Arabidopsis thaliana: one gene and its partners. The protein of the gene in region 3 interacts with the protein of the main gene of each other region in a pairwise test. Each region holds a gene or a part of one and is shown on either strand. Other genes may lie near its edges. The genes, in order: AT2G42660, AT3G56770, ATHB13 and MBD3.

Region 1 (8,141 bases), on a different chromosome or scaffold from region 3:
TCAAAGTGTTTGGCAGTGCGGCTATTTCTTTGTTTGTCAAAAACCTGACATTTCTATCATTTCATGTATTCTCTCAATGAACTCAATAAGATATCACACATTTTGGTTTATAAAGAAATCCCTCCATTTATATAGTACTTACATAAAGAAAAGTGTTTGAGAATTTTGTTTTGGTTATCTAAATATTGACATTTTCAATTAATGTGATTCTCACTTTTTTCTTAAAGAAATATTTATTTTTAAAGTTTGAAGAGCTATAAGAGGAATTAGACATTTTGCGAAGGGAATAAAAACTTGAAAATAAAGAAAACAATTTTATTAATAATTATATTGTCCAGGTGTATATACTTTATTTCTTTGTATATAAAAATTAGCATCAAATATATTTGGTAAGTACGTTTTAGACAAGTATGGTAAATGACAGCCAAGTACTACATGACTCATATTTTATATAATTAATTTCATATTTTAAATTTATATCTATATCTACATTAACATGAAATAAAAAAGATTTCATGTATTGATAAAATAAGCTAGTTTGTCATAATTTCCTATATCTTAAATCTTACCAATTACCATCTTCTAAAAGTTTCTCTTACCACACAAAAAAAAAATCTTCAAAACATTTCTCCTATGCAAAACTTGAGGACAATTTATAAAACAACATAGTTAAGCCCATTAACTAATATTATGGGCCTTAAGAAACGCAAAACAAACTCGTTTAATAGAAAAGATTTCTCCGATGCAAAAACTTGAGGACAATTTATGAAAACAATATAATTAAGCCCATTAACCAATATTATGGGCCTTAAGAAACCCAAAACAAACTCGTTTAAAAGTCATCGTCCTCCGTAAACCCTGAATCTTCCTTCACAGAACCCTAAATAACTTTTCTTTTCCTCCGACCACCGCAGCTCAGCCGCAACCGCCGCCACCACTTATGTCAAGAGTAAGTCCCAAGACTGTGGACGATGCAGTTAAGGCTCTGGTCAAAGAGGGAAACGAAAAATCAAGGACGGAGAAGCCACAGCTTCTAGAAGAAGACGGATTCTTTTACCTAGTCGTAGCCCTAAAGAAGATTCCACAGAGGAATTTTACGAACGCTTATCGTATTCCTCTCCCGCATCCGCTAATTAACACTACCGAAGACTCACCGGAGCTCTGTCTCATCATCGACGACAGACCTGAAAGTGGTCTCACCGAGGAAGATGCGAAGAAGAATATCAAATCAGAGAACATACCAATCACGAAAGTTGTTAAGCTTTCGAAGCTGAAATCGGATTATGGATCATTCGAATCGAAACGGAAGCTTTGTGATTCATACGATATGTTTTTCTCAGATCGGAGAGTGATTCCTATGTTGCCAAAATTGATTGGGAAGAAGTTCTTTCAGAGCAAGAAGACTCCTGTGGCTATTGATTTGAAGCATATGAATTGGAAAGAGCAGATTGAGAAAGCTTGTGGTGCTGCTATGTTCTTCATGAGGACTGGGTCTTGTAGTGCGATCAAAGTTGCGAAATTGTCCATGGAAAGCGATGATATCGTTGAGAATGTGACGGCGACTTTGAATGGTGTTGTTGATGTTTTGCCTAGTAGGTGGAAATACATAAGATCTTTGCATTTGAAGTTATCTGAGAGTTTATCTTTGCCATTATATCAGACAGTGCCTTATTTGCAGCTCAAGATTGATCCTTTAGGTGTTGAAGAAGTTAAGAATGGTGAAGGATTAGCTAAAAGTGATGTTGATGATAGTAGTAGTAAGAGTGTGAAGACAAAGAAGAAGAATGGAAAGATTCATGAGGTTAGATATATGGATAGTAATGTATCTGAGACTCTTGGTGATGATGAATTCGATAGGAGTGTTGGAGAAGATGAGGTTGCTGATGATCTCAATGCTTCTGGAGATAAGAAGAAGAGGAAGAAGATGAGTAGTAGTAAGTCTGCAGTGAGTGGGAAACCAGACATTGTGAAGAGTAAGAATGGGCAAAAGTCGAAAAAGCTAAAGAAGGACATTGATGAGTCTGGTGGTGGATTCAAAGCTAAGACTAAGAGGAGGTGAACCAAGAAAAGAAGATTTTATATTAATGTCGTTATAACTAAGTATTCTATTCTTTCTGCTTGAGTGATTTTTTTGGATACTGATTATGACTTTGTCTTATTATGGTATCATCATCATGATTCTTATATATTTAGGACTTTTATTATCGTTTACTATTTCATCAAACTAGTGACTTGCCATGTAGTTGATTTGGTGGTTTTGACGAGGAAACATATTATTACATGTGTTTTGTTGCATTCCAGAATTGGTGTTGTATTGAATGCAGAGAAACCGCTAAGGATAAGTACTTGCAGGATCTGACTCAAGCCTGATCCAGATCCTGGCTAAGTACTCATCCCATGAAACGGCTAAGGAAAACAAAAGTCTCTACTCTTGAATCTCTTTTAAAGTTAAACTTCATCTCTCTAGTATGTTGGTTACGGTTCTGATGATGTCGACAACAGAGAGAGCGAGAGCATTGTGTTGATATCATCTGTTGGTTTTTGCCTGCAATTTCCAAACTCAGGCAACTGTATCCCACCTCCGGACATTGATTTCAATCGTTTGACTGATGATACTTCTTCATCTCGGACTCTTTTCTCATTGTTCTTCTTCCTAATCTGCATAAGATTTCACCAAGATTACAGTACCTTCCTCGGTTTTTAACAAAACTGTTCCTCTATAACTCTTAAAACGAAAGTAGGTAGTTACCTCGAGTAGAGGCAGAGTCTTGTTCTCTGTGCTGTCTCGGTCATTTCTGCATAACCCGCTAAACCAGCTCGAAGGTCGCATAAGAAAGTTACCTCCAAGATTTGTAACGACCGCGTCTTGATTGAGTACCCTACAGAAAAGAATGCAATTTTAACTTCCTTGGTCGGATCGGATATACAAATGTGAAACATTTTAGTAACTGGAACTTGTTTCTTTGTATGACCTCGAAGGAACGGTTTTAGAGTTATAGGCATGTCTTAAATCGCTATGAGGGATACATCGAGAGTCGATCATGTCCATCAAATAGCTTCTTTGTCCACTCATGAAAGCTCCAAATCCTGTTCAAAAGTCATTTCCATCAATTATGAAACCCAGTGAAGGAATGGTAAATGTCTGCGGATCAAAACTAACTTACCAGGGCGAGAAGACGGCTCGAGCTTCTTACTTCGATACATCTTGAAATCAGAAACATGAAAACATTGAAAAAGATGAACAAAACTGAGATAATCTTAGAATAACAGACGATGAAGATTACCTGTAAATGACTCTTGACATGTGCAATACTCAATCCTTTTAGATTCATCATCTCAAGAACCAATTTCGGCGTCGCTCCTTTAAAATCATACAACAATTACATTACAAAGCTGAGAGAGAGAAAGAGAGAAAGAGACGTGGAGAGAGAGAACAAGAATCCTACTGTCTGGACCGCCTAGTCGTTGGACAGCACGAACGAAGGAGAGATGAAGATCAGGCGTCCAACGAAGCCGAGGCATGTTGGACCGAATATACTGTCTAACGTTATTCGTGATTTGGTCTTCGTCTTCCACTGATGACTCTTCTTCATTGTTCTTCTCCACTGTTTCTTCTCTGTTCAGGTCAAGCCACGTGGAGCATTTTCCCGGCGAAGATCTCCCGGCCATGTCTCTCCGGCGAGAGTGTCTTTAGCTAGCTCTCGAGATCAATTACTCAAAAACAAACAAAAAAAAACCCATGAGAGAGGTTAAATCTCTATGATAATTTCGGCGTTGGCTTCAATAATACTAGCTATAATCATATATATACACTTATAAGTATATAATATAGTCTTATTTGTCGTAAACTATAGTATATAATTATATAGATATATAAAATTCTTATCTATGTCATGCATGTTTACGTATAATTGTATGTTTTTTTTTAATGGAAAAGTGTGTTGGAATCTTCCGTTTGGTGAAATCACATTAGTTATTAGGTTTTGCTTCATTTTTGTTAACATACCAGAAAAATATCCGTTTGTTCTTTTAGTGACAATGACATGTAAACTTATCTCCTTTACTTCTTAAAAATAATATCTTTCTTTAAACAAGATTTAAATATGGTGAATTTGAATATGAATTCAGATTCCAAAAACTATACCATTTCTTAAAACATCTTCTGTTTACCTAACGTGCCTTTGATATATATCATGTGACAATGGCTAGGCTATTTAAATTGGTTAATTAATCATATATTTGATATCAAGCATATTGGTTCAAATAGTCCAGTCTATATGTATACACAATTGGCAGTCGAATATTTTGTGTCATTAGAATTGTTGTTTTGTGAATGATGTATCAAACATTTCAATCCGACCAAACCACTCTTGTTTTTCTAACAATTTTCTCTTTAATAATTTCCAATTAAGTTGACCTTTGCCGGAGACTACGCTTTACCCTTTTGTCATATTAAACCACGTTTTTGAGTGTCTCCAAAACAACTTAAAAAAATAAAAATCAGATTAGCATTGGGGAACTCAAACGGAACATGAGAACTATCGATCTAAGCCGATTGATTCGAACCCTGATAGACAAAAGGTACAAACTATTGTCTACCTCTCAACCGATTACTATGTGGTGGAATGAATTACGTTTCTACGCATTTGGTTTTATCATGATGGCTATTGATCTATATTCATGTTTCTCATATACTTAGGTTAAATACATGACGGTCTTCAATCCCAACGTTTGAAAACAGAATTTAAATAAAAACTTAAGAGAGAAGGGAGTTTTGTCAAATGGTTAAGGATGTGATTCCCAAAGATTCTTGAGTTCACGTATGTACAAAACAGAAGTTGTCTTTATCTTTTTGGTTTTATTATTGGTGACCCTTTTCAATGGGCATTGGGTTACACACCTCCATATATTAGTATTTGGTTTCTCTTCGAGAATTGGCTAACTATATGTTTTTGTAGGGCTTACCAACTTACCAATCAGTATATAATTCGAGAGAGGTAACTAATAAATAATTACGGGTATATTATCTTTGAATGCAATTTTTTAATTGTTCAAATTAGGCAAAGCAACTTTCTTTCTAGAGTGCAATCTTTGTCTTTATTGTCATCTTGTGAGTTGAATTAGTATTTGTAAACATAGATAAGCTGTCGTTAATCATAAATTCTCAAAATAAGTTTCAAATCAAGAAAAATAAGTACAAACACTTTTTACAAAATTGAACCAAGTTTTATGTGAAATTAATAAGGACCTCAAACCCTACACCAAATTAATTATAAATCGTCCCGATGCAAATTTCCGACACTCTATGTCTATGCACACACATATCTATACAAGCATTTTGGAACATATATGAAAACGCGATGGGATCAAATTTCAACGCTCGTATTCATATAAACACAGCTTGAATGTTATAGAATTTCTATGAAGTCTTTTACCATGATCGCCCTCGATCTTCAAATCTAGGGTTATGGACAGATAGAGAGAGAAAGAAAGATAGGAGATGAGAGAGAAGAGAAGATAGGACAAACATTCGAAGTAATTAACTAAGATTGAAGAGAGCATTGATGGGAGAGAAGGAATCGTAGAGGCTCATGTGGGCACTAAGAAAGATGAGGAAACTTTGTTTTGTCCTAACCTGTTTACGTACCGACACTTCATTCACAATTCCTCCATTTCCCATGCTCTCTTTTTATGGAATATATAATTTCAAATTGTTTCAATAGTTCTTGAATTTCTTTAAACGACATGAATTTCTTTGGTTAAGAGAATCTTTTGTCGAGTTCTACTTCTTCCAAGAAAATTCTTTTATATTTTACCATTTCAGAGGATTTTTTTTTTTGTGAATGTTTACTAGATACGTTTTATATGTACAAACCATTTATTTTTTGACAAAAAATATAACAACTGTTTCCCTAAAGGACGTTTTATATGCACAAAACCATTTTTAAATGTAAAAAGGACGTTGATCCAGTTGATATATTTATTTATTATGCATGCAAGAAGCTAAAAAATTCTGCATGTTGCCCTAAAGAATCGCCGCAAAATGAGGCACCGTCTTTGAATTCTTCCTCATCACATGCCTACGTATCTTTAGGACCATGATTATTAGCTTCGATCTTCTTTTCTCAAAAGTTTTATTTATACACTCATAAGAAAAATGCATTATAATGAAGAGTAACAATTAACAAATTAATAACGTAACATAGTAATGGTTTCTCTTGATCTTTTCTAAGTTGTTTCCATGCTTACTTTTGTTCGTGGTTGCGTACTTGCGTTCAAAGCGGTTGGGATCAAAGGGTATCACACCTCAATCAGCATGTTAAAAATTTCCACGATTATATAAACTTTACTCATGAAGGAACGGGCTCATCTATTTCAATTTTCAACCATGATTACCCCGAAATGCTTTCTTTATTCTCTTTATAATCCTGGTCTTTGGGTCTAGGTCTAGGTCTAGGTTGGGACCATATCAATGTTCGTTGTTAAACATTTTGTTTTTTTTATAACCAAAGAATCTGGACCAAAATCTAGACTATTCTCATTTGCCCTGTAGATTACAAATCGGATATTCTTACCATTTAAGACGTCTAGTATTGAAATCGCAATGCAAATTTTTTGGATCCTAGTCCCTAAGCCCATGCTTCAACTACATATAAACCACTATGATTCTATGAATTAGTTTGGTTGTTCAACTTCATCATCATAAATAATTGATAATTCTGATTTTCTTCATGAAAACCGAAATGGATAAAGTGGAGAGCTAATTTATCCATTGACCAAAAAATAAAACGAGAGGAATGAAATTCCATTGAAATCCACTAAGCAAATAGAGTGTATCCACTAATTTTATGATAATATCCACTAAGTCCTTACGTAATAAAGACTCAGCCAGCCGCTTGGTAGAGGGAGATGGGATTTAGTCTTACGTAGTAGCCAGAATGTGATTTTGTTTTTTGTTCAGTTTTGCTTTGTTAGACTTAGAAAAAGCCAACGACGCCATTTCATTCCCTTATTTTTTAAAAACAGTAAGATCACACATCCCATGAACTTTACTCCGATTTCCAAATCAATCCCAACTTAGTTACCAACTGCACAACCTACAAATTGGGCGTATCGGGGCAACTTCTATGCTGGTGTGACCTTACCATATGAAGGAAGAAACACAACTATGCAAAACGAGGTTTAAGGATTTTGTAAACACAACCATTAGAGAAGTCTAGTACCGAAGACTAAAAACCATTAGAAGTCTTTTGCAATATAATGAAACGGAGACACACGGTGTATCACAAATTAGTATGTACAATCCCGTTTGCAATATAAAAAGACCCCCCAAATTATTTCCGAAAGGAATATAAATAAAAAATAAAAACCCGAAGCCGCCCAAATTATGTGACAAGTAAAGATTAGATCATCATCAAGTTCTAATGACAGGACCTCTGTACGGAATTCGTCGTATCACAAAGTCATCAGGCGGTTGAAATTCCTCAAGCCATGTCACGTCTGTGACCACTTCTCCATCCACTTCTAATTCACCTGCTCCAGTTCACAATCCAAATCAATATCACTAAAGGTTCTAATATGGTTCTGGGATCGGGTTTTTGGAGAGCTTAGTTGTATTACCTGGTAAGTCTTCTCTTCTGGATTTCCGGAAGTAAGTGCAATGCCGATCATGCTCTGAAGAGTAAGGTGGAGCTAAGATGTCAAGAATAGCACAATGGGTGATGGCTTTGAAACAGTGAATGTTGCCACCACTTTTCGGATATAATGTTGTTACTGGGCTTTGAGCCGTCATCTCAGTATCCTTCACCAGTTTAGCAGGTCTTGCTTCTTATGAATCAAAATAGTTTACAATTAGACCAGAAGAGTGATTGGATAAAAACTGAGAGAGTAACAGAAAGAAGACGGTTACCTTGTGATGGATCCTCTGGTTCGGTCAGTTGAGGCTCTAGCCAATCATATGACTTCACATGCATTGAACCATAAACGAGCTTGCTTAGCACGGTCATGCCCGGATGGTTATGAAGAGGTATCATAGAAGAAGGTGGCATACAGAAGATTCCTATCTGTTTTGACAACAGAGGCAAAATGAACCAAGTGAGAGATAACATTGGTGGCAGTATCAGGAAGATAAAACACCCAAC
Region 2 (8,645 bases), on a different chromosome or scaffold from region 3:
CCTAAATTTGTCTCATCATGGATAACAAGAAGCAGAGATATTCCAGGAGCATCCGTGACGATCGTGATGAGAGAGATAGGACTAAGCATCATCATGAGAGGTCTCACGAAGGAAGTAAGAGGAAAGATAGATCAGAGGAAGAGAATGGGGCGGCTAGGACGACAAACAAGAGTTCTAGGTTTGAAGATGTAGCTAGGTTTGAGAAAAGGCCGTATACTTGTTCTATTGCATCGGACACTACTTCTAGTCAAATCCTTGAAGCTGTTAAACGATTTCAGGAGCTGGCAATAGATACGGCTGTTGCACATAAACAGACCAAGGGCTTTTTTCTGCGTGTAGATGTACTTGGAAGAGAAATAGATGAGTATGGGCATGTGATTAATCTTAGTACATTGATGGTTAACAACAACAAACACAAGAAAGATGTTTTTCAGAATATTCTTAAACCTCCCCAACCTTTTAAATTGACAAAGAAGGAAGAGAAGAAACTGCAAACTCTAAGGCGTGTGGCAAAAGAAAAGGAGAAACAGAAGATGATTAGACAAGCGTTGTTTGAACCACAAAAATCAAAGGTGAAATTGAGCAACCTAATGAAGGTTCTTGCGTCTGAATTAGCAACCCAAGACTTCTTCTTATGAAGAGTTTCCTTCTTCTCATTTAACAGATTAACTATGAAGAGTTTGTTAAGGTCATGATGGCTAAGTGATGCTGTTTTGGAACCAAACAATGGCTCTAAACTTGGTTTGCATCTCTTACATATAAATTCTTGTGTTATGTTCTAATTTTTTTTTTGTGTGGGACTCGAGGTATGTTTTCTGGTTGTTTAAGAAACGAATGTTATATCCCTTTATGATCTATTTTGCGTCTGAATATTTTCAAAAGCCTTGTTATTTCTGTTGTCTTGCTCTTGTAATTTGTAACTTGGTCTAGTTCGTGGTTTTCTATTAAAGGTCTCTAGTGTCATTGTTTTTTTAAATGCAAATTAGGTCCTATCAATGGCAGTCAGTTTACGTTAAATTGATTTCCTAACGGGGCTCATTGAATAGCTTCAAATGATCAACGAAACAGAAGGCCAATAAAAACCTAAACACAAGAGAATGTGAAACACCTCAGTAGAAATTTTAATGAAACATTGAATTTAGTGAAGCATCAAATCATAAGATGTCCGCGAGTTTCTTCCAAATATTAGCAATCATTTAACAATTTGCTTTGTTTCTTATAATTTCATTCAAAAGAACTTCACATGACTTTGAACCTCTTGGCATCGAAGCTAAGTCCTCTTCAATCTGTTGCTTCGCTTCCACTTCACATGGATATGTCTTATAGAAGATTTTTGCCGTTTTCAAACAAAGCGCATGGTTCAGGAGATAACTCACCAGATCCTTATCTCCGTATCTCCCTGTGTACCCTTTCCACTCTAGAGCTTCAAGACTGGACAACAAACATTCGGGAACCAAACTTGGCGGTTCCCAACGACCCAACGGGGTTAGTAAGTAAACCTGCGATCACGAGAAAAAATGGTAAAACTGCTATTAATAATAAGATCATTGAGGTCGAATATTAAACACTAGTATAAATTACAATGGTAAAGGAAAAAAGGGAGAAAACTGAATACATGTTCAAGCTTGAGGACCACCAATTTAGTGAAACATAGGAGCAAATCTACAAGCATTTCCACAGATCTTTCACTACATATGCTCAGCTCCAGATGCACGATTCGACTGAAGGTACTTGCATCCTAGAAAAAAAAGAAAAAAAAAACACGATATTTCATTTATGTGATGGTTCCAACAAGATATAACACGAGAAAGAAACGACATGGAATGAAAAAAGTTACCTCTAATTTTGATGGAACTCCGAGCCTAACCCGTACAATATACCGGTAACGGCTTGCATATGCCAACTCTTGAATGCTGAAGTACTTGAAAGAAGGTGCGATAATCGCAAGCTTTCGAGTGTAGTTTTTCATCAAACTAAAAATATGCTTGGAATCTGCATCGACTCTTGTGATAATCGACAATCTTTGTAAGTAAGGCATGTCGATATCCAAATTCAACAAAACATCACTGGTTTTTTCTTCCAGTGTTAGGTCGGAGAGAACAGGGCAATTGGATAAAAGCCGACAAAAGGAATCATTGTTAAAGTCCTCCATGCGGGCAACATGGAGAGTTTTGAGGAGTGGGAGACATACCGCGGAAGAAGAAGAAATGCTTATCACATCCTTCAAGCCTTCGAGTTTCAAGGCCATAAGTGTTTTACACCAAGAAACGTCGTACTCAGCAAAAAAGAAACGAGATTCTCTTATGACCATTAGGTCAGTAATAAAATTGCAATTGGATAAAAGCATTTGAAGGGATCCAAAGTCGAATAAACTCGAGTGGTCAATGTGCAGAGTTTTTAGGGATGGGAGAGAGACCGTTGTAAGAGGAGCTTCCACATCGATCACTATACCTTTGAGTTTCAAGACAACAAGTGTTTTGCAGGTAAACAATTCAGGAGGTAATACGGTATGGACAATACAAGCATCTATCTCTAGCTCACGGAGGTGGCAATGATGATGATGAAGCGCGGTTCTAATCCATGGTCCAATGTCTTTATTCCACAGGGTCACACTTAATTCGACATGAAGGCTTTCTAGAACATGAGATTGGTGTGAGAACAGAGACTTGTCGAGAAATCGTTCAAATCTAGTGTGATCCCGAACATCGTACTTGAGTATAGGCACCCTTGTCCAAAGAGATTTCCATTTTTTTGACAAAAGACTTGTCACTACAACATGTTTAGTAGAAACGAATGACAAAATCTTCAAGATCAAATCGTCGGGCAACTCGTTGATACATGAACAAACCTTCTTTGTCATTGTCTCTGTTTAGGTCGAAAAAACATTAGACTATGTTTAAAACCCTAATTACAAATAACTTGTTTAGGTCAAAACTCTTTATTGCTTATCAAGTTTCTCCAATAACTAATAAATATAATTTCCAACTAATACTTACGAGATTTCGTGCGAGGTAGATTCTGAAGATCTGGAGTCTGGAGTCTGGAGTCTGGACGAAGAGGATTCACCGGAGTTATGAGATCTCACAAACCCTTCGACTTCCCCACAAAGAAGAAGATAACCAGTTAGTATGAACTTAAACCGATCTGATTAATGTTCTGGTTCAATTTCTTGGTTCAATCATATCCCTCGGTGTGTTTATATGGGCCAAGTAGAAAACAGAGTCTTAAAGCCAATTAATTTCCTTCTTTTCAATAGAAAAGGATAAAAAATCCATTACATAAAAATGCAAATGAGAAATATCAAAATTGTGCTTTCAATAAATCCCCTTTTAAAGAAGAAGAAACATAGAAGTTGTTGATGTGTTGTGTAGATATACTAACAAATTTTTTATTAAAGTTTGATATGATATTATTTGGTAAAAGATATATAGTAAAAAATTTCTTCTAAGTTTTTGCTTTTGTAAAATATTTCTTTTTTATGTTAAGATAACTTTGTAAACAAAAATTGGAATACCTTGCCAGTTGCCACCCTTCACTACCCAATTTTTTTTGTTATCTAGAGCTATTAAAAATGTTATGAAACATACAATTGCAATCGTTCGGTTGCGGAAAAATAATGAAACCTTTTTTCAAATTTTTTTTTTTAAAATATTTCTACAAACACCTAAGTATATATCTATGTACATACGACGACAAAAAAAAATATGTATGTACATACATCTCCTCTCACTCTAAGCTTATTTTCGTATAAATTATAGTATAGTCATATTCTTTTAGGACAGAACCCACCGAAAGAAAGCTCCAAACCCAACAAAAAGGGAGGCGGCGGAGAAGCAAACAACAGCAACAAAAAAATGCAGCCAGAGGTTTCAGATCAAATATTTTATGCCTTCCTCACCGGAGGATTATGTGCCTCGTCTACTTCCACCACCGTGACGTCGTCGTCTGACCCTTTTGCCACGGTTTATGAAGACAAAGCTCTTGCTTCTCTGAGGAACCATAAAGAGGCTGAGCGAAAGAGAAGAGCAAGAATCAATTCCCATCTCAACAAGCTCCGCAAGTTACTCTCTTGTAACTCCAAGGTACACAAATCTTTTACTTTACTATCTCACTACTCTACTCTAAACTTATAATGAAACTTAGATAGAGACTTGAACCGGAAAATTATAAAAAGCATAGAAGATAAAAATGGAAGATTAAGCATGATGAAACTATTAATTCTTTTGGGTTATTTAAGATATGAAATTAACTTCTAAAGTTACATATTCTTCAGTACTCGTCTAAACATGCATATAATTTAATTAGGAAAAGATTTATGAAATGAGGATTAAAGTTTTGATGTTATCTCACCAGAATTTTGTGTTTTTAATTAAATCTTTATATCCAAATGACAATTTTTTTGTCTTAATCAGATTAATCTTGCTTGTGTGATATACGTTACTACAGTCTAGTGTCTAGCTAAGATTTTATTTATTGGTGAGAAAGGTGGAATATTGGAAGTATATCACTTATAGAAAATGAACCATTTTAAAACTAACATCAGTCAAATGTAATGTTTTCGAATAATAAAAAAGCTGCAAGTACTGGGAATATCTAGAAAATTGAGGAGATATAAAAAGCTTACAAGCCCCTTTTTTTCTCTGAAGCTGATAATCACTTTGTCGGGAAAGTTATCGAGCTTTTTTTTTTCTCATTTGAAAACAATTGAAACATGAAGACAAAATTTCTCGAATCAAGACAAATTCTAATGATCTGACCTTTTCTCTTTCCTTGTTTCCTTTATTTGTTTTAATTTTCTTTACACAGACAGACAAATCCACACTACTAGCAAAAGTGGTTCAACGAGTCAAAGAACTAAAACAACAAACCCTAGAAATCACCGACGAAACAATACCGTCGGAGACTGACGAAATCAGTGTACTCAACATTGAGGACTGTTCCAGAGGCGACGATCGACGGATAATCTTTAAGGTATCGTTTTGCTGCGAGGACCGGCCAGAGCTCTTGAAAGATCTCATGGAGACACTCAAATCTCTTCAGATGGAAACTCTCTTTGCCGACATGACAACAGTCGGTGGTCGAACAAGAAACGTTCTCGTTGTGGCCGCTGACAAAGAGCATCACGGCGTCCAGTCGGTGAATTTTCTACAGAACGCACTCAAGTCTTTACTCGAACGGTCAAGCAAGTCGGTGATGGTGGGACATGGTGGTGGTGGTGGGGAAGAAAGGTTAAAACGACGTCGTGCGCTGGATCACATCATAATGGTCTGATCTCGATATGACTTGAGCAATTATTTAGGGTTTAACTTTATTATATAATTAATTAACGTGAGTATAATTACCACAAATCTTTTGTTTTTTTTCTCAAAAAAAAAGAAGACTTTATATGGGTTTAGTTATAAGTTTGAGTAATGGGTGTAAACATGTGTTGTAACTTGTAAGTAGGAATTTGTGTGTTCTTTTCCGATTCTTTTAGAAGAAAATACAAAAAAAGAAAAGGAAACTATAATTTTGTACAAGTTAAATCAAATTTTAGGGGTACGTAAAGTATAGGGTGATGACGAAGATTATTAGATTGTGGGAATATTTGTACAGACAGAAGAATCTAACAAAGAGATGTGATTGGGTAAAGTACTTGCAGCGAAACAAGACTTTCAAAACAGTATATGTATTTTAGAACTTAAAAGCATCATGAAATGGTGTATATAAAGTGAACGTACGATGCAGGACAGTCAAGAGAAGCTGTTTGTAGAATCTTAATGAAAGAATATATGGAGAAGTGTTAGAGTTTCAAAGCTACCTCATGTTATCTTGTCCCCTAAAGAGTTCTGCCTTTTGTTCGTATCTTTCTGAATATTTTTGTACCTTCATTTGTTTTTATGTCTTCCTTGAAGAAATTTTTAACCAATGTTATATTTACTGTATTTATCTATATATGTTTGACCACCTTTTTTCCTTCGTATGAATCGATCATATTGTATATAATATATTAAGAAAAAATCAAATTTATTTAGTATACTAGACTTCTAGGTTTTTTGGAGCACATGGAAAAAGCAAGCACAGATTCACAACAGAGTAGGTATGACGAAACTGGAGAATCTTTTCGTCAAATGTGAAAACCTATTTCTGTTAATGTAAATAAATATACTATTTGTTATTAGTAAATGTGGAGGACGGATTAGTGCTTGAGAATGAGGTAATACTTTTACCGTATTTGCGAGAAGGTGTAACACAAGAAACAGTACCACAAGACAGAATGTTTTTTAAGATTAAAAACTATTTGCAGTTTCATAAAATTTGCAAAGCTAAAATATTATGAGTACTAAATTGTATCCCTAAACATTACTATTTGATTAGAAAAAAGAGTAAACAAACAATGAAGAGGCAGGGTAAAGGCGTGAAAAAATAGAAACGAGAAAAGGATAGAATTGATGGGGCCATTCTTCGATGAGACAAAAAGCATTTCTATTTTTCTCTACTCTATAATATGGATTGTGGGGATGAATTAATTTCTTAATATATAAAGTAGACTCATTGTGATGTATGGGTGAATTTCTTAACTTATGCATGTTTGATTAATTTATTTATCTCGATACCACAGTGCCTTCACTTTCCTGTGCTGACATCGGATGATTTTGAAGTTCCTTTTTCTTTTATTTTACATTTGAATACCCTTTAAGGATTATTATTTATGATTTAATTCTTTACTCTTTCACCAAGTAAGGCACGAATTCACATTCTTCAACTAGCTATAAATGGATTTATAGCTGTTGTATTTTAAATTGATAAATTCACATCGCTCCACTGTTTGGAGAGAAAATAGAAGATGTGGTCTAAGTAAAGCTTTGATTGGTGCTGAAACATGATAAATGGTCGAGAGATGGCTAAGGTTAGTATATATGAAAAATATGAGCAATTAACTACAGACTTTTATGTTATATAATTCTTGAATTGTTGTCATTATTGACCATTTAAGGGGTTGGACATTTTAAAACTTCTCCAAACTCTGACGTGAAATGTGTAGGCTTTTGCAGTTTGGGAGACTATACTAGAGAGTATAACATATTGAGCTTGAAGAAATAAAAAAGAGTAAAGCAAAAATATAAATCGAGAAAGTATGTCTAGTAAGCGTGATGGTGTAGATGGAGTTGGTGTCTCCTCGATACTCAACCTCTCGACCAAAAAGAAAACATAAATTTAGCTTTTCACAAAAACTGAATAATTAAAGTTCCATTTTGAAAATAAGCTATAGTAACAAAGTACAATTTGAATTTGTATATTCTTCTGGAATATGGATTTACAGCAGAGCAATCACTAACAACACACTAAAATGTTGACAAAAAGGAAGAGCAATCACTCTTTAATGTGAGCAGTAGTGTTAAGACTGTTAGCTAGGTTAGCTGCGTCTTGAGTTAAATGGGTTTAGCCCAATTTGATTTAGCTCGAGTAGTATCTAATAAGAAAAAACAGATAATGTTCTACATATATTTGTATAAATGACATTAGAAATAGAAATAATTTGACCTTTACTTATGACAGTGGAAGAAAGCGACAAGTCTTCGGCTGAAGGTCCAGTAACAAGGTGAAAGACGAAACGATATCCACTAGTAAGTATTGTATTGGGCCAGGCTAAGAACTGATTCACATTCAGAAACTGAGACCCAATAACAATTGTCTAAAACAAAAACAAAAAACTGACCCAACCATAGTTCCTCTTGGAAAATTTCCACATATAGTTAGGAATTCAGTGCGTATGCAATCATCTACTTATCCAAAAAAAAAATGTAGCTTTTATAATTTAGACTCTTTACGAATCTACAGACTTATAAAGAAGTGGAGGAGATGAGGGAATCAAGGAATAAGAATTCTTTGCTTTTCCTACTTTTCTCCCATTTCATTCATTGCTTTTGGATTTGTTTGCTACCCAATGTAAGAGCATCTCCATTGGAAGTATCTCAATGAGATACCCAACCAAAAAAATAATAATTAAAAAAAAAAGTATGAAAAAAGAGAGAAAAAGTAGGAGAGAAGGAGAGTTGAGTTTCTCTTCCGAGAAACTTTGAGTAATTATTCTCATCCAATTTGGACAAGTGTCATCATACTATTAGTTCAATTATTAAATAATAATTAATGTATCTATTTTAATTAAAATATTTTTTTTTTTTTTGAGAAACTTTCCTTGTTTTTACTGGCCAACAACATTAATATTTGTGTGCTTTATTCTCCTAAGTTTCCAACTTTCCACACCAATTTTAGTTTTTCATCTATGAAATCATTATTCACGGTTTTTGTCAAAAGATTTTATATTTGATTAAATAACAATATAAGGGTACAATTAGCAGTATGCTATAATCTCCCAAAATTTTGTATCTACAAACTACCAAAAGAAAATCAAATCTTTACTAATCACATGATTGAAATTATTTTTTATACCTTTATGAAAGAAAAATGGAAAATTCAATGCTTTGGTAGAAATTATTTAGATTTACAAAGAAGTACAAATTCACGTTTTCTATTGCGCAACAAATTGACGCTCTGGTCTCTGGAAGTGTTCGAACTTCGAATGTTGCGATCATTTTTTTTTGTTACGATCATTTTACCTATAGTCTTTTTATAATTCATGCGTTAAGAATATTGATATTAAC
Region 3 (8,776 bases):
CTGAGCCATTTTTCCATTAGAAGTGAGTAGTTTATAAGGAAATTGAAGCACCAAGCACATGGCCACATAGCCAGCTCTTCTTTACGGGTAATTCTTTGTTTGGTCGTAGCTACACTACAATTATACTATAATTATAAAAAATTGTTTCAAATACATGTTGGCATCTGATACACTGTCACCAAAAAAGATTAGATTAAGGAAATGCACATGATCCCATAAAGATTCTTGTATTAATTAATGCATAATGGCGCATTTAAATCTCTCTCATCATTTTATCGCCAACTTTAAAATATTGTGTCTTCCTCTAGGGTTTCAGATTCTGTCACATGCTTGCTTCTTCTTCCGTATAATTTTTTATAATTTTTAACCGTCATTTACTATCTTCTTCGACTCAATAATCCAGATTGTTATAAAATTATACGCTAACTTGGAATCGTGAAAAGTGGATTTAAAAGTTTGTCGTAGTCAAATTTAAATACCGACAAATCATTATAGTGACTTAAAATGTATTAATAACTATGTGGATGAACGTCATTGTTGAAGTTGATTTCCATTGGACGCTCTGGTTATCGCTGTCAATTGTCATCTGAATTAGCTTAGACTTGTAACCTTGTACGTAACATGTCAGAGATATTTTGCTTCAGTTTGATTCTCGACTATAAGAAAACGTTGTGAACTCCTAAAATATATAACCACTAAAGATGATTGTACGAATAAGTGTCGTGTCGATATAATTACGCTTCTGAGCATAATTGATGGATTTGACCTCTGAATTGTGTCCACACACCATTCATTCATTATAAAGTACTCTAGATTTACAACTTCAATAGAAACTTTGAAATATGAAGATTAAAAGAGATATTTGAAACTGATATATTTATATGGCTAGCTAGTTCCCACTTCAAACATCTACATGGTATGGATATGGAATGTGTGTTAAAGTTCATGGTATGGATTTACGATCGTTTAAACAACTTCTTATAAAAAAAATTAATAAGGATATATTTATAATTTTCTATATGTGATGTTTAAGTATTCAAATCATGAGTGGACCAAGGTAGGGGTAAGATATAAATTATTAAATTTAAAGAACTTATAGCATAACTTGTAAATTTTGGTGTATTGACCCACTATAACCATGTTCGATACTCACATTTCAGTTAATAACTATTTTTTAATTAATACTCTCTCTATTTCAAAATGTAAGAGACATTTTTATTTTGTTTCATATTATAAGATGTTTTGCAAGGTTCTATACAAATTTAAATATATTTTTATTATTTTTAACTATTTATATGCTGTAATATTTTTTATGATTGGTTAGATTTGTTTTTATTAAATACAAATCATATTTTTTTTTTAAAAAAACTATCTAAATATTTGTATTTTTATCTTAAACATCTTATATTTTAAAGTAAAGGGATTAATAGTTATGTTGTATTTAACGAATTTTGGGGTCCGCCACTAATAGATTTTTTTTTGTTTTTTACCGGCACGGATAGAAATCTTATGACATATTCTATCCCAAAAGAAATAATCAGGCAACAAGCTTTTAACTACAAAAGTTCAAAAATATACGTACCCAATAACATTTATAACTAGATAGCAAACGTAAGGAATGTTTTACCACATGTACAATTCTATGATATAGGATTTTATCATACAGACACATGCACACAAGAAGTCATTTCCTAGTTGTACAATTTATAAGTATATTACGTGGAAGTGATAAGAGTGAGCATATAAGTGTAGTTGAAGCATCCAAGTTTACAAAGGGTCCATTAACCAAAAAAGCAAAGCAAACCAAACACGGTTAGCTAAAAAGAAAATTGTACTTTAGGAAAGAAGTGGGTGATTCTAGTGGGTCGCACCAACGCATTTCGTTTGATATGTTTTGTTTTGAATTCTTATAGTCATTTAGAGACTAGAGAGATCGTGTTGAACTAGAGCTACATAGTATCATTTGCAGTATTTTTTTTAGTTAACACCGAGTATCGAGATATTTTCTTATGGACCTTTGGGTTAACACCAATAATTTTCAACATGGGGGTTTGAACATGTTAACTGTTTTGATTTTTCAAATCTAATGAAAGTTAAAATATCCTTTGATTTTAATCTAATTTAGGATTCTATAACTGGCGACACTTCAGTTCTCTGGTTTTAAAAAGTTGGCAATTCACCACTAGTTCTTTAGAAGAAAAAATCAACGGTGTTCTAGCCTACAACCGCTTTTATATATGGCGATCAATTTTTTTGGTTCAACATCGTTGAAGCCAACATTGGCCTTAGTTTCTCCACATCTTTGGGTATTAAGCAACTTTTATTTATAGATTTTGTCGCATTCTTTTGTCGCTAGCATCTTTTAAAATTTTAATTGATTTTTTCTAATGATTGGTTCAATATTTTTTTTAATAAACATAGATTGTAAGTGAGATTTCAAATTTATCACCAAAAGGAAACATCGAATTCTTTAAGAAATTTCCAAAAGTTTAAAAGTGTCGGCCATTTGAATGTGGAAGATGAAAAGGAGTTAAAAAGGAGAAGAGTCGATTAAAAAGGAGAGTGACAACTTTCCAACCCCAAATTGTTTGCTTGCTTTCTTCCAACTCTCTTTGTCCTCTTCCTCTATCTCCCTTGGAATCTGTGTGCGTCTAATGTCTCTTGCTGCTTCTTTTACTCTCATCAAATCTATAATCTCTTCTACTTAAAATCCCATATTATCTTAAAGAAATTGAGGATATCTGATTTCTTAAAATATTTTTGTGTTGATGAACCAAGACTTCTAATGGGACTATGCATTTAATATATGTCATTGATAGATGAGTACTATTTTACACGGTGACACATTATTTTAATGCATGATATGTTACTTGATACCTCATCAATATTTCTGCGCGAGAACGAATGGCATTGTCATCAAACCGGACAACAAAGGTTTTCATCAAACCAAACTCTAATTTGCTGTCTTTTTTAATATAAAAACAAACTATAATTTGCTGATAGTGATGTTAGATTTTTTTTTCTTAAAAAAAAAAAAAAGACACACACGGTGAAATGAATAATGTAACTGTAGAATAAGAGAAGGGTTATGAAATTGATGGTCTGCGGCATCGTCAGATTTAAATATCGTACGTCTTTTGTAAGGTCTCGTGATTACAAATTTCACTCGTTTAGATTTTGTCCCATCATTTTTCTTTGGTCCTTTTAACCCGCTCGACCAAATCATGACATATGCAGAATTTATTTCATGGATTTAAACAAAAATAATGATTTGTTTCATGGAAAATGTCCTTTTCATTTGTGCTATTCCATTTATTTCTTCCCACTTCTGAATATGACGACTACGACCACATGGTGCCAGTACCCACGACTAAACTATATAATATACAATTTATTTTATTTTTCTCCATACAGAAAAATGTTGGGCCATAATGATATTATTTTTTATATAATATAATGGATATTACCCATTTTTTTACATCTCATTTACTCAAAAAGTAAACAAAAAACCTCAGTGGTGTTTGGTTGCAGATTTCAAAGTGAGCTAATGATATAGATTCCAGTTTTTGAAAACATGCATGGGTTCTTCTGATCAAAATTCCAAATACAAAAAAAAAAAATATAAATTTTTTTAAAAACAAAAACAAAAAAAACAGGTAGACCAATTTCAATTGTACTGTTGCTGATCAAGCCATGGCCAAAAACCAGAATGGTCATCCATTGCACAGAACATGTTACTGATACTATTCTCTTCTTTAACCATACTCTGTCCTGAAGATGAGTTTTGAAAGAACTGCATTGTTGTAGTAGTTGTCGTTGCGGTGGCTGGCGACGGTGGGAAGAAGTGTCGACCAACTGTCTGTGGTGGCGGTGGGTGGCCACCGGTTAATGTACTGTCGTTTGATGGCGGCGCAGTTGAGATATCTAGTCTGAGATTATCTGAACTGTTATCACTTCTGTTACTGCAAGATCCTTCAGTTTCTTTGTTTAGATTTATTGATTCTGTTTGTTCTCTGTTTTTTAATCCCATTATCTGCGTAATTAAAGACAAAATTTTAAACATAAACAGAGTTACTGTACAATGTGATAAGCATAAAGAAACTATTGTTTTCAGATCTCTTTCCAGACAAGAGTGAAGAAAAAAAGAGATAATGATGTCTGAAAAGTCATGAATCATGTCCAGTTTTTTAACCCTACCTGAAAGCAACTCCTGATCCAAATAATTATAAACCAGAAATATAATTTTTAACCTTTTTTAAAAAGAAAAAAATCATCCTTTAGATGGAAAATAACTGTAATTATTGATCATTAACCCAAAAAAAAATAACACATATTGATTTTTTTTGTTAATTTATGAGATTAATTACCTCAGCTTGGAGTTTCTGATTATGAGTTTGAAGAAGATCATTTTCAGCTTTAAGTGTATCAAACTGTCGTTTAAGAGTATCATAATCTTTCTCTAGCTGCTTTGTTTTCCAACGAGCTCTTCGATTTTGAAACCAAATCGCGATCTGTCTTGGTTGCAAACCTAAGGCACGAGCTAGCTGCATTTTCCTCTCTGGTTCAAGTTTGTTTCCAAGCTCAAAGTTCTTCTCTAGTGTCTTCACTTGTTCCATGTTCAATCTCCTCTTCTTCTCTCCCATTTGTGACCCATCATCTGAATAATCCTCTTCTCCATTCATATTGTTCCCTGTTTCTAAATCACAACACCCTTCCATTGGAGATCTCTTACCTAGAAACGAAGCAAATCCTGAAACAGAACAGAACAGAGCATTAGAAAGAGATAGAGAGAAAACAGAGGAGATGTGTGTGGAAGTTTATGTATATATACCATGGAGATCTTGAGGTAGAGAGCAAGAAGGAAGAAGAGGAGCAAGAGATGGAGATTGATGAGGATGATCATCTTCGTAAGAGGTTTGGATCATGAAATTTGAAGGGAAAAAAGACATTCCATTATTACAAGACATCTTCTTCTGTTTTGCAACAGAAGTTAGTACTGTTTGCTTGAGATTTTGGTCGTTTCTCTTTAGTTTTTTCTTCTTGCCAATCTTTGTCTTAAAGCCATTATCATGGTCTTATAAATCTGAAGCTCTTTGTGTGAGAGTTTGAAATCAAATGGAAAAAAAGAAGAAGAGGAAAAACAAAAGAGAGAGAGATAGTGAAATGTATCGGCCTAGACTATACCACTTCTGGTATTTAATTTCTTCTTTATTTCGTTTTATATAGAAAGGCTGAGAGAGAGAGAGAGAGGACATATGAGCTGAGAAGAGAAAGAGACGCACTCAATTGATTCTCTCGTTAAAAAAAATAAAAATAACACGATCAAATACAAGCTTAAACTTCATTTACGTTAAGCCAAAGTATATATAATTATTAACTCCAATTTTATCTTCATTTTCGACAATCGTTTATAGATAGATATTTTTTTAACCATTGTTGGCTTCCAAGTAAAAGTGGGATCCAATTTAATTTACCCTGGTATATACTTACTCTTTAGTCTTTAGGATAGTGGATTATTGTGTGGTGCGCTGAGATTCATCTATAAATAAAATTTGCATCAGACCACAACAAAAGACACAGTTTGAACTTTGAATATGATATTGAGGTGTAATATCTACTTTTAGTTGGAGATAGAACAAAAAAAATGGGGTTAAAAAATAAATAAATGTAATTGCAGATTAAAAATCGTAGAATTGACCAAAACATGTAATCTTAGTGTTTTCGTTGTGTTATTACTCATATCAAATTGGCATAATCCTAAATATTGTTGAAAATGAAAAAAGGAAGCAAATTACAAGGGGGTTTAGCTTGCGTACAAAGTGGAAAATGAAGAGATGATAATCAAAATGGTAAGAAGAGAAAGGACTCTTCTTTTTCCCCTTGGGAGAGACATGCAGAGAGGTGTTCTCTCTCACTCATCATACTTGTCCTTTAAATTTTATCTAATAACTTTTTCTTTTATTAGATTTGTCCTTTTTTTTGTAAGTCCAATTCTCATCTTAAATCATAACTATCAAAGTTGTGTCTCTCTCTCTCTTTTTATCATCTAAATTTATTTCTAAAGAACTTAATTTACAATTTATTTTTCGCTAAATCATTTGCATAGGCTGAGAACATATGTAATAAGTAGCTAACTAACGCCTTTCATACTTCTATTGATGTAAATTAATTTCATATATATAATGATGTAGTGATATTGGGGTAGGGACGAAGCTGGATAGTGAATGGGTCCAATGTTGATCCTATTTAATCACGCTAGTACGTATGGACTATATATAGACCCATCAAATAATCGTATTGTGTCTACATGGATTGACCTAGACCTGTGGATCTAGGGATTGTACATAATTTTATTTTATTTTTTGTGGGAAGAAGAGAGAAGTGATATTATTGATTTTCAGATGTTCTATGATGCTAGTTTTGATTATTTTGATGTGAAAAAGGAAGATTGAAATATTTAACAAAAGAAGAAGATAATAGCTGCACTTGTAAACCATAGTATAACTGTGATTTTTTTTTTAGTCGGATATATAGTTACTTTAAATTTGTTCGTTTTCATTCTTCAAATAAAAACGATTGCGGGTGAATTGGAAAGATCAAGGCAGTCAGAATAACATCAGAGTTCATAAGAAAATATATTATTTTAGGTGTCCGTCTTACACCACCCACCTTATCTAATACGGTCTTCATTCAGAACCTTAGTTTAATCTTTTAGTTCAGAATATGGAACGTATATAGTTAATCTTTATAGGTAACTGCTAAAGTCTATCGCTAAAAAGGTGAAAAAGTAGAAATTAAACTAACAAAATATAGTAGTGTAGAATTTCTCTATATGTATTGTTACTTCGTTTTTATTTAGAATTCATCATTTTTGTATGAAATTAAAGTTCAATAAGTCTAAAAAGTATGATCGGTCCAAACATAATTGAAATTTGGTCTGAAATAGAATGGAAAAGCAATCACCATCTCAAAATAGCGTTTAAACGAAAAAATTATATTGAAACTGTAAATAGACTTACAATATATACAAAAGCATGGATTATACGTATGTCCATGATCAACAATCTTGTAACATGTATTTGAAATTCTAGATCATGTCTATGAGAATCATGGTACATCAAATCTGATCTCATCAAACCTATTAGCTTTGACCTAACCTATCAACCGCAAGACAGATACCAAAACGAAACAAGAAATCAATTGACTACTGGTAATGCTATATGTATATATGTAGAGTAATATTGATTGACCAATTACAAAAAAGTTATACAATTAGCAAAATAACAATAATAGGAATAATCAATAAGTATCACAAAAGTAAAATTCTCGCTAAGAGAGAAGGGTTTCTCGTGCTATGTTGGCCGATTGATTGGTATCATATCAAATGGAAGTGATGCAAAAAATTCCAAATGCATTATATTAGAGAGTTACAAATATAAAATCTAATGATGCAATTTCTTAAAACCCTTTTGTTGTTTTCCATTTATTTAAAGTTCATATATATAACAGACCTGTTATATGTTAGATAGCTTATGTACACATGAATGCATATGTGCGTGTGTATATGCATGCATAGACAGACGTATAAAGATGGTGCGTGGGGTACTTAGGTTAAGGAAAAAACCAAACAAAACTACTATTTGATTAACCCCACATAAGAGCTGTTCTATCTTGTCTCTCCCTCCTTTCCTCTTCCATTCCTTTCCATAATCAATCTTTCTTTTTATTTTATTTTATTATTTTCTTAATTTCTCTTCCCAACATCCCTTGTGCCGTATTCATCGATGATGTTTACTCTAACATCATCAACCACATAATTATTAACATTTTAACGTTCATTTTCACTTTCGATTAGACTACTATTCATTACTTTGAGACTACTTATCCGTCTCTAACTGACATTTCACGCATCACATCGTGCCGTTCTGCAATCAAAACTTTTGTATCAAAGTACTTTTACTTATCCATGCATACATATAGCTTCACAAATACCCGAATATTTATTGAATGAGTATGATTTAATTTTTATTTTGTATGGAATGTGAATGACCCAAAAAGTTATTTTTTTTTTTGGTAAGGAAAGAGAAATTAAAGAAGTTATAAACAATCTGGTTTTTAGAAGACGAGTAAAAATTGTTAATTTCAACTAATTATTTTTAGTACTCAAGTATATATTATATTTATTGGCAAAACATAAAAGATGTAAACATCTAGATACATTTTAATCCATTCGAAGAACTTAACAAAAAAAAATTTCATACATTATATTACATTCGGTGTGGTACAGATCGCACGGTCAATCAATCTAAAGATCACTTGCGGTGATTGAGCGACGTTGTATGATTTTATCCATACTTCATATTGTTTACTGTTATGATCCATTCTTCACAAGATTGACTAGACGCGATATATGTGCACTCTTATCATCAAGAAGTGAAATATAGCGTATGATTAGATATGTGAATTTAAAGGCTAGTCTTACAAGTTGCTAGCGAATTTGGAAAACTTGTATAGTCGTTTTTTTTTTTCGGTATGATCACCCAACTTTGACGTATCTATTTCAGACACTATAAAAGCATATGTTTCGATTACTGTTTATCCAAATGGAAATGTCTCGCCCAAAACCTCAACATGAAAGTCAGGAAAGTCCAACAACGTAGTTTTCAAGAAGTCACAATATGTCCCTCCTCTCGTGTCACACCACTCCTAGTCCTAGCGAACTAGCTGCATAGTGTAAAATACTTTATATATGAAAAACTTAGACATAAATATATAT
Region 4 (7,097 bases), on a different chromosome or scaffold from region 3:
GTCTCTATTCAGGCTCAAAAGAGGATGTTGCTACAGAGATGCGAAAGTAAGTTTAAGATAAGGAAGCTGAACGATACTGTCGAAGAAGACAATGTCACGCAGATGGAGCCAAACTTTACACTTGAGAACACTCTTGTTTCCGAACCAGAAGCAGATTTGAGGCCTCACACAACTGAGCCCACTACTGAAGGTACTTACTCTTTTTCTCCCCACACTGTTTACTTAATTTTGGTGTTATCAGTTGTATTTAGCTAAGGTTTTGTTAATGTTATTGGTTATAAGGGTTTTAAAGATGAAAGCTATGGTTATGGAATAAGAATGTTAGTATTGTGTACCTGTGTTTGCTTTCTTGAAGAGCTTTTGGATTCCTTAAAAATCAAAAGCTTAAAACTTGTCAATTATGTCTCATTTTTTTGGGGTTAGTTTTCATTTATCGACAATTTGACATTTTGTTCTGTTGTTCACATGCATGTTGTTTAGAAGAAACTCAGAGATCTTCAGCCAAATCACAGTTGTATAATTTATGTAGTGTGAGGCATTGGAAAGCACCACTGTATGAGTATATCGCCGAGGGTCCTTGCCATATGAAAATGTAAGAGCACATAATTTCTGCACTCTTTTCACATTTTAAAGGTTAGAAATCTTTAGTGTCAGCATCATTCATGTTTTTCTTTTGTTTTGTTCAGATTTACAGGCAAAGTTACGGTTGAAATGAAGGAGGATTCTCGGATAACGGTTTTGGAGTGTTTTGGGAATCCACAGTACAAGAAGAAAATCGCAGCTGAGCAGGCAGCAGAAGCAGCACTTTGGTATCTTAAGAATGTGGGTTATACCCTTCAAACAGAGAAAGCTTCTGGTCGTAAAGGACGGAGTAAACCGATATCGAAGATGATGGTAACAGGTGAACCCGTGTAATGATCTTTGCCAGTTAGAATCTGTTAAGGTGATTACTTTTGTTTATGTTTATCGGCCTTAAGGATTAGCTTTTGATATAAGCTCTACCTAGGATGCTCAAAAGGTCACAAAATACTCATCTTTTATGAGACTATTTTCATGTGTACCTTTAACCTGCGTTATTTTTTGTCTATCTATGCAAATGTCTATTTTGATACTTTGACTATATCTCGCGTCAACTTTCCTTTGATATAACTATATACGCAAGTCGCAAACTTTTGTTGGTTTGACCTTAGCTATTGCCAACCTTCGTTTGGCTCATGCCATCTTCAATGAAAATTAGCATTTTGATAGGTTTCATAAGTTTGATATCTATTCTGAGTAAACAAAATTTGTAATGAGTCTGCCTTTATAACACATAAAAATCTACTACTAGTGCCTCGAAGCTGTCTTAACCTAAGCTGCCTTTATACCACATCGAAAATTTTCATCTTACCACATAGCTAAACAGTTGGGAATTTTTCATATGCTATGTGGTGCTTTGGTTACTCCGGTGATTCTAGCAAGGGCGATAAACATCATCATCTTATTTCTTCTGAGAAACTTTAAGTCTGAGATTCCGGTGCAAATAACAAGATTAAGGTTATGTAGATTATAGATCTCTTAGAGATTGTCTCACAGGCAGAATTTTAGTTGCCTTAAGACAAGAAACTGTAAAATAGAATCTTAAAGGCTAGCTTGGAGAGCACATTTTTAAGGAAAAGATGATCTTGTTGGTCACATAAAGAATGTTGTGTGATGAAAGAGATTAACAAAGTGCAACCATGGGGGAGAAGAGAAGAAAGAGGAGATATGAACCAGTTCTGAAATGTCTAATTCAAGGAAACGTTTGGTTGGTGAAATGTAATCTGATCGAGCCGAAACTTTGTGGCAAGCTTTTCTGTCTTGATTTTCAACGGTGGGATTGAGATTTTGACGGTTGGTTTGTGTGTTATTTGAGATTCTTCAACCTGATCCGGGCACAATTCATCTGAAGTTTCAGTTTTGACCAGTTTCGGTGGAAACATCACACGGATGACCAAATGAGTTCTGAATGGGATGAATTTTGTCAGAGATATTCTAGACATGTGAGACAAGATTCTGGTATAAGGACACTCAATTTGGAGTCCGGGAACATAGCTTACTGATGACCCTTCAGAACAGTTGATACAGAGTCTTATGGAACGAAGAGTTTTTAGTGACATGAAAGGCAAAGAGACATGAATGTCAGCATTGGCTTGAAACTACAAGGCATTTGAGTAATGGAGTCTGAGACTGATCTCTACGTTGGCATCTTCAGAACTTGGTTTATCATGAAGAGTTATTAATATGAAAGAACCTGTAATTAAGTTTGTTGAAGAAACGTAAAACACAAGTTAGTGGTGAAGAATCAGTCTTCTCATAGCTCGTTCTTAAAGAGAAGGATTCGCATATTGAAGTATTTATGAATCTGTTGCTATCACAAGGAGAAAGAGACCTTCGATATTGTTGCTTCAAAGAGAAGGAATTTCAGAGAATGATCAAAAGCTATGATTTGCAAAGATCTCAAGGTTGATTAAATCATTGTGTTAAAAGGGCCTCAAGAACGTCACTGTATCAGTTAGTGTGAGATAGCTACAAGGAAAGCTACCAGAATGGTCTAAGACTGTCAAAATATCAGAAGTGCAAAGATAAATCAAAGGTTGAGTTGTTCAAAGATGGACTTTCAGAAGCTTTGAATTCTAAGAAGCGTGTATGATTCAAAGTTTGCTGCTAGTAATTTAGGTAGCAGTTTGTTCAGAGAGAAGGAGATTACTAGGCAGATTACTCAAGTACATGATAAAAGATATGATAAAAGAGGAAATAAATTGCTTAAACTGGGAAAACATAAAGCATCAAATGTTCAACGACAAAAACCAAAAGAAATCAAAGACAAAAACCAAAAGTTCAAAAGAGAAGAGATAAAGAGAAGCGATGAATGATCCTGATAAGTGATAGCAGACAAAACTAAGCATCTCTCGAGACACCATCTTCCTCAGTGTTCCTTGAGCTAGAATGACTATCGACAGGTTTCTTTTTTAGTTTCAGCCGTTTGGGTGCGGCAAAAGAAACCTCTTCAAGCGTCATGTCTTTAAATTCTTCCTTGTCTTCAATAAACGTTGCAACTTCCTTTATAGATTTAAACCTCTTTCGTCTAGGAGCCAATGATTCATAGTAAACATCGACTTTCACGCAGTTTGTTCTCACGACCAAAACTCTCTTCAAACCTTGAGGGGTTTTGGGTATACTATGTTCATCCTGAAACCAACGCATAGTAAGGGAATCAAAGTTCATTACCATATCTCCAGGTTCTTCACATCTCTTGCATTCAAAAAACTTTTCCAGTGTTTTACTACGAATCTCTTCATAATCTTCTTGTGACTCTATAGATCTCACTTTAAGACACTTCCAACATTGTGCAGCGTATGAGTCAATTAACGTGGTTTTCACTACACACATAAAACCAAACAAAGACTAAGATAAAAATAAAACATTGTCGATACCTTGTGAGATGCAATGATAAAAAACGAATCTTCATGTAATGATAAAAATAAAACACCATATTTCAAGTTTTGGGATCTTCATGCATTGACAAAACAAATCTTCATGCAATAATAAAAATAAAATATTGTCGATACCTTGTGAGATGTAGCTTGAGTAGTCTTCCTCACCATATTTCAAGTTTTGAGAGAGATAAAAATATTTTTTTGGGAGTTTAGCCTTTTAGTTGAAGTGAAGAAGAACTAAATATATCCTTTAGATTCGTAAAGTGAAGTGAAGAAGGAATGAAATCTTTACTGCAATAGCATTTAAGTTGGCTTTTAAGCCTTATAAGAAGTATCTAATCAAGTACTATTATAACCAGAACTCGAAGAGATAGTAGCTTGCGGTGATTCGAAAAGTCGGAGCCATTAATTTTGATTTTGCATGTACTTTCTCCAAGGAGAGGAAAAACAATGCTTTGAAAATTGTATTAACGTAAATTTGGACGCTTGAGATACATGTAGGTTAGGGCTAGCCTTACATCAGTAGGACAGGCGTTTTAGTTCCTTCAACCCTAGATAATATTAAAAGTTCCAATTCTTAAAAAAACTTTAATATGCAGCCCAATAGAATCCTATAGCGTCAGTGACCACTTCATTTGGTGTCAACCAATTAAAAACTGATCAGTTATAGAAATATTAAACTAGTGATAATGCGCATTTTGAATGTAAGACAAGCATACATATAAAAGTTTTATGAGTTATTTAAATTATTCAATTTTGGTTTAAGATTTTAAATGATGTGGACATATATAAGAAGGCAAAACCATATACTGTACTGTATTATATAATCCATTCTTCGTAACATTTGGTCTGTTCTTGGCTCGGAAATTGTCTCTGACCAGAGCAGTGTTCTACATGATTATGCAATGTCTCGGAGCCATCTGTGGTGCCATCTTTAAGACTAGTGAATATCGGCGCATCTTTAAGCCTAGTGAATTTCGGCCCATCTTCAAGACTAGTATGGAGGCCTGTTAAGGGTCTTCTAATACAGCTCAACATGCCTTTTTGTGTAAGCCTAGTGAATTTCTAATACACTTTGTCTCTGGTCAAACACTTTCATGCGTTTTTTTTATAAATATGTTTAATGAGCATAAATGTGCGGCTCAAAGCGGTGCAACTCCCAACGGTCAAATAAACAAATTAAGCTCAACTGCTCAAGTAGTGAGAACAAGATCAACCTAACTTGCACAACGAAGAATTTTTGTTGTTGTTGTGGTCATATATATTTTTACACTAACTAATTATTTTGACAAAAGTAATCAATTTGTGACATTCTACAAAAAAAAATATAAAAATAATCGAATATAATTTTTTTATTGGTCAAAATATCGATTGCAAAATACAAAAATCAAGGCATAACAAGTTAATCTATAAATTATAGTCGTGTTTTAAAATTAAGTCGTGTGTTTTGCGGTTTTGTCCTCGATTTTGTTCCTTCCTTTGTGTCGAATTAGTCCTACATTTTATAGAGAGGTCTTCTTGACCCTAATCCACGTGGGATTTTGACTCGAGCCACCGCCTCTATTGAAATGATAAGATCGTTTCTAGAATGAGGTTACGGCCCGTATTGGTCCGGTTCTTGTCGGTTTTGGCTAACACTGATCTTTCATAAAGCTTTCTAGAATATCCTTTATTATTTTCCCTATTTTGATGGGTTAAGAAATTTAACAGAGTTTATTCAATATCATCTCCAAGATTTAAATTATTCCCAACAGTAATGCAATTAAAATCTAATATCAACTATATATTGGTTTAGTAACTAAACCAATATATAGTTGATATCTAAGCTACATTAAATCTAAAACTTTTCTAACAACTTCACTTCAACTAAATAATTAAACCCAAATCTAAGACAAAGTCTCTAAAAAGATTATAGACAATTCGACTGTGTCAACAATATCACCACATGTATAGATGCATATAATCATTTTCATATAATGAATTCGACATGTGGCCCTACACTTTACGCTCTTAGTGGATATTTCATAGTTAATGACATATACATATATATATATATATATCATATTCATTCACATAGATATAGATTATAGATATAACCCACTGAATTAATATTACGGTCTTCAATATAGGTGCATTTAAAACATAACGTTCCCTCTCTTGTCTTCTTATTTTTGCTCTCTGTTCTTTAGAACTGCCATTAACGAGAGTGAGAGAGAGAGACACACACACAGCGAGTGAAAATGTCTCCGGAGAAGAAGAGTCAAAACTTCCCTCCAATAACGGAATGCAGAGACGGAGAGTACGATTCGATAGCCGCCGATCTTGACGGGACTCTGCTTCTCTCAAGAAGCTCCTTCCCTTACTTCATGCTCGTCGCTGTTGAAGCTGGAAGCCTTTTACGTGGACTAATCCTCCTTCTCTCGTTACCATTCGTCATTATCTCTTACCTATTCGTATCCGAATCTCTTGGTATCCAGATCCTCATCTTCATCTCATTCGCTGGTCTCAAAATCCGCGATATCGAACTTGTCTCTCGCGCAGTTCTTCCACGGTACGAGATCTAACATAGAGTGTTTTCTTGTTAGTAGATCACTTTAGTTTTTTTCTGATGAACTTTGTTTAGGTTTTACGCGGCGGATGTGAGGAAAGACAGTTTTGAGGTGTTTGATAAGTGTAAGAGAAAAGTGGTAGTGACGGCGAATCCGATTGTGATGGTGGAGGCGTTTGTGAAGGATTATCTTGGAGGTGATAAAGTTTTGGGAACAGAGATTGAAGTTAACCCTAAAACCAATAGAGCCACTGGATTTGTGAAGAAGCCTGGTGTTCTTGTTGGTGATCTTAAGAGGTTAGCCATTTTAAAAGAGTTTGGTAACGAATCACCTGATCTCGGCCTCGGTGATCGAACCTCTGATCATGATTTCATGTCTCTCTGCAAGGTACTGTTCCAATCTTTTTATCCAATCTTGGTCGATTATAGGGTAAAGTTAAGTTGAATTATTGAGTGTTGATTGGTTTAGTGTAAGATGTGTTTTGGAGGTAACTTGAGAATCTAAGCAAACGTTTGATTTGCTTGTTGATTAAGCTAGATAATCTAATTTAACTTGTTGACTGGTTTAGTGTCATTATGTCTACGCGTGAATCTTATAAAAATAATGAAATTTTTGATTTGGAAGCAATTAGTAAGGTTCATAAATGTATCCAACCAATCACTTCACGTGACCCTCTGGATTATTTTTCTATCCCCAACCACCTTACTAGTTCCACCAACATTTTGGGCTGTCCATTTAATGAACACATACTTGAAATATCATAAACAATCTTCTGTTGTTTAATGCTTAGTTTTTTGAATCTTGATTACACAATTTAGAGATATGTTACATTTTCCTAGTACTTTTAGTTATAAGTTTGAAATGAATAACGTTTTTGGTATTATAACAGAAAGGTTACATGGTTCATGCGACCAAGTCAGCCACAACGATTCCAAAAGAACGCTTAAAGAACCGCATAGTCTTCCATGATGGGCGTTTAGCGCAACGTCCAACTCCGTTAAACGCCATTATCACATACCTATGGCTTCCTTTTGGTTTCATCCTCTCCATCATTCGCGTCTACTTCAACCTCCCTTTACCTGAAAGATTT

Evidence for each region.
Region 1: the proteins of ATHB13 (region 3) and AT2G42660 interact in a two-hybrid assay, tested with the Arabidopsis thaliana proteins (one large-scale study listed by BioGRID).
Region 2: the proteins of ATHB13 (region 3) and AT3G56770 interact in a two-hybrid assay, tested with the Arabidopsis thaliana proteins (one large-scale study listed by BioGRID).
Region 4: the proteins of ATHB13 (region 3) and MBD3 interact in a two-hybrid assay, tested with the Arabidopsis thaliana proteins (one large-scale study listed by BioGRID).

The regions. Positions count from the first base shown.
Region 1 is NC_003071.7:17,764,590-17,772,730, forward strand, and holds AT2G42660 (Homeodomain-like superfamily protein), read right to left. Parts: upstream 3,791-8,141; 5' UTR 3,670-3,790; coding exon 3,447-3,669; intron 3,362-3,446; coding exon 3,285-3,361; intron 3,205-3,284; coding exon 3,165-3,204; intron 3,088-3,164; coding exon 2,973-3,087; intron 2,880-2,972; coding exon 2,750-2,879; intron 2,659-2,749; coding exon 2,476-2,658; 3' UTR 2,461-2,475; downstream 1-2,460. Other genes in the region: AT2G42650 (Ribosomal protein L1p/L10e family), read left to right, coding at 941-2,059; AT2G42670 (2-aminoethanethiol dioxygenase, putative (DUF1637)), read right to left, coding at 7,415-7,533, 7,621-7,827, 7,910-8,063.
Region 2 is NC_003074.8:21,025,828-21,034,472, reverse strand, and holds AT3G56770 (basic helix-loop-helix (bHLH) DNA-binding superfamily protein), read left to right. Parts: upstream 1-3,718; 5' UTR 3,719-3,854; coding exon 3,855-4,082; intron 4,083-4,147; coding exon of another isoform or gene 4,148-4,256; exon of another isoform or gene 4,257-4,345; intron 4,346-4,806; coding exon 4,807-5,271; 3' UTR 5,272-5,571; downstream 5,572-8,645. Other genes in the region: AT3G56790 (RNA splicing factor-like protein), read left to right, coding at 18-638; AT3G56780 (FBD, F-box and Leucine Rich Repeat domains containing protein), read right to left, coding at 1,197-1,499, 1,616-1,738, 1,838-2,860.
Region 3 is NC_003070.9:26,255,357-26,264,132, reverse strand, and holds ATHB13 (Homeobox-leucine zipper protein family), read right to left. Parts: upstream 5,346-8,776; 5' UTR 4,968-5,345; coding exon 4,832-4,967; intron 4,751-4,831; coding exon 4,368-4,750; intron 4,034-4,367; coding exon 3,668-4,033; 3' UTR 3,352-3,667; downstream 1-3,351. UniProt on the Arabidopsis thaliana protein: Probable transcription factor that may act in the sucrose-signaling pathway.
Region 4 is NC_003075.7:175,336-182,432, reverse strand, and holds MBD3 (methyl-CPG-binding domain 3), read right to left. Parts: upstream 3,412-7,097; coding exon 2,920-3,411; downstream 1-2,919. Other genes in the region: AT4G00420 (Double-stranded RNA-binding domain (DsRBD)-containing protein), read left to right, coding at 13-190, 481-592, 687-915; GPAT8 (glycerol-3-phosphate acyltransferase 8), read left to right, coding at 5,699-6,009, 6,082-6,394, 6,897-7,097. UniProt on the Arabidopsis thaliana protein: Probable transcriptional regulator.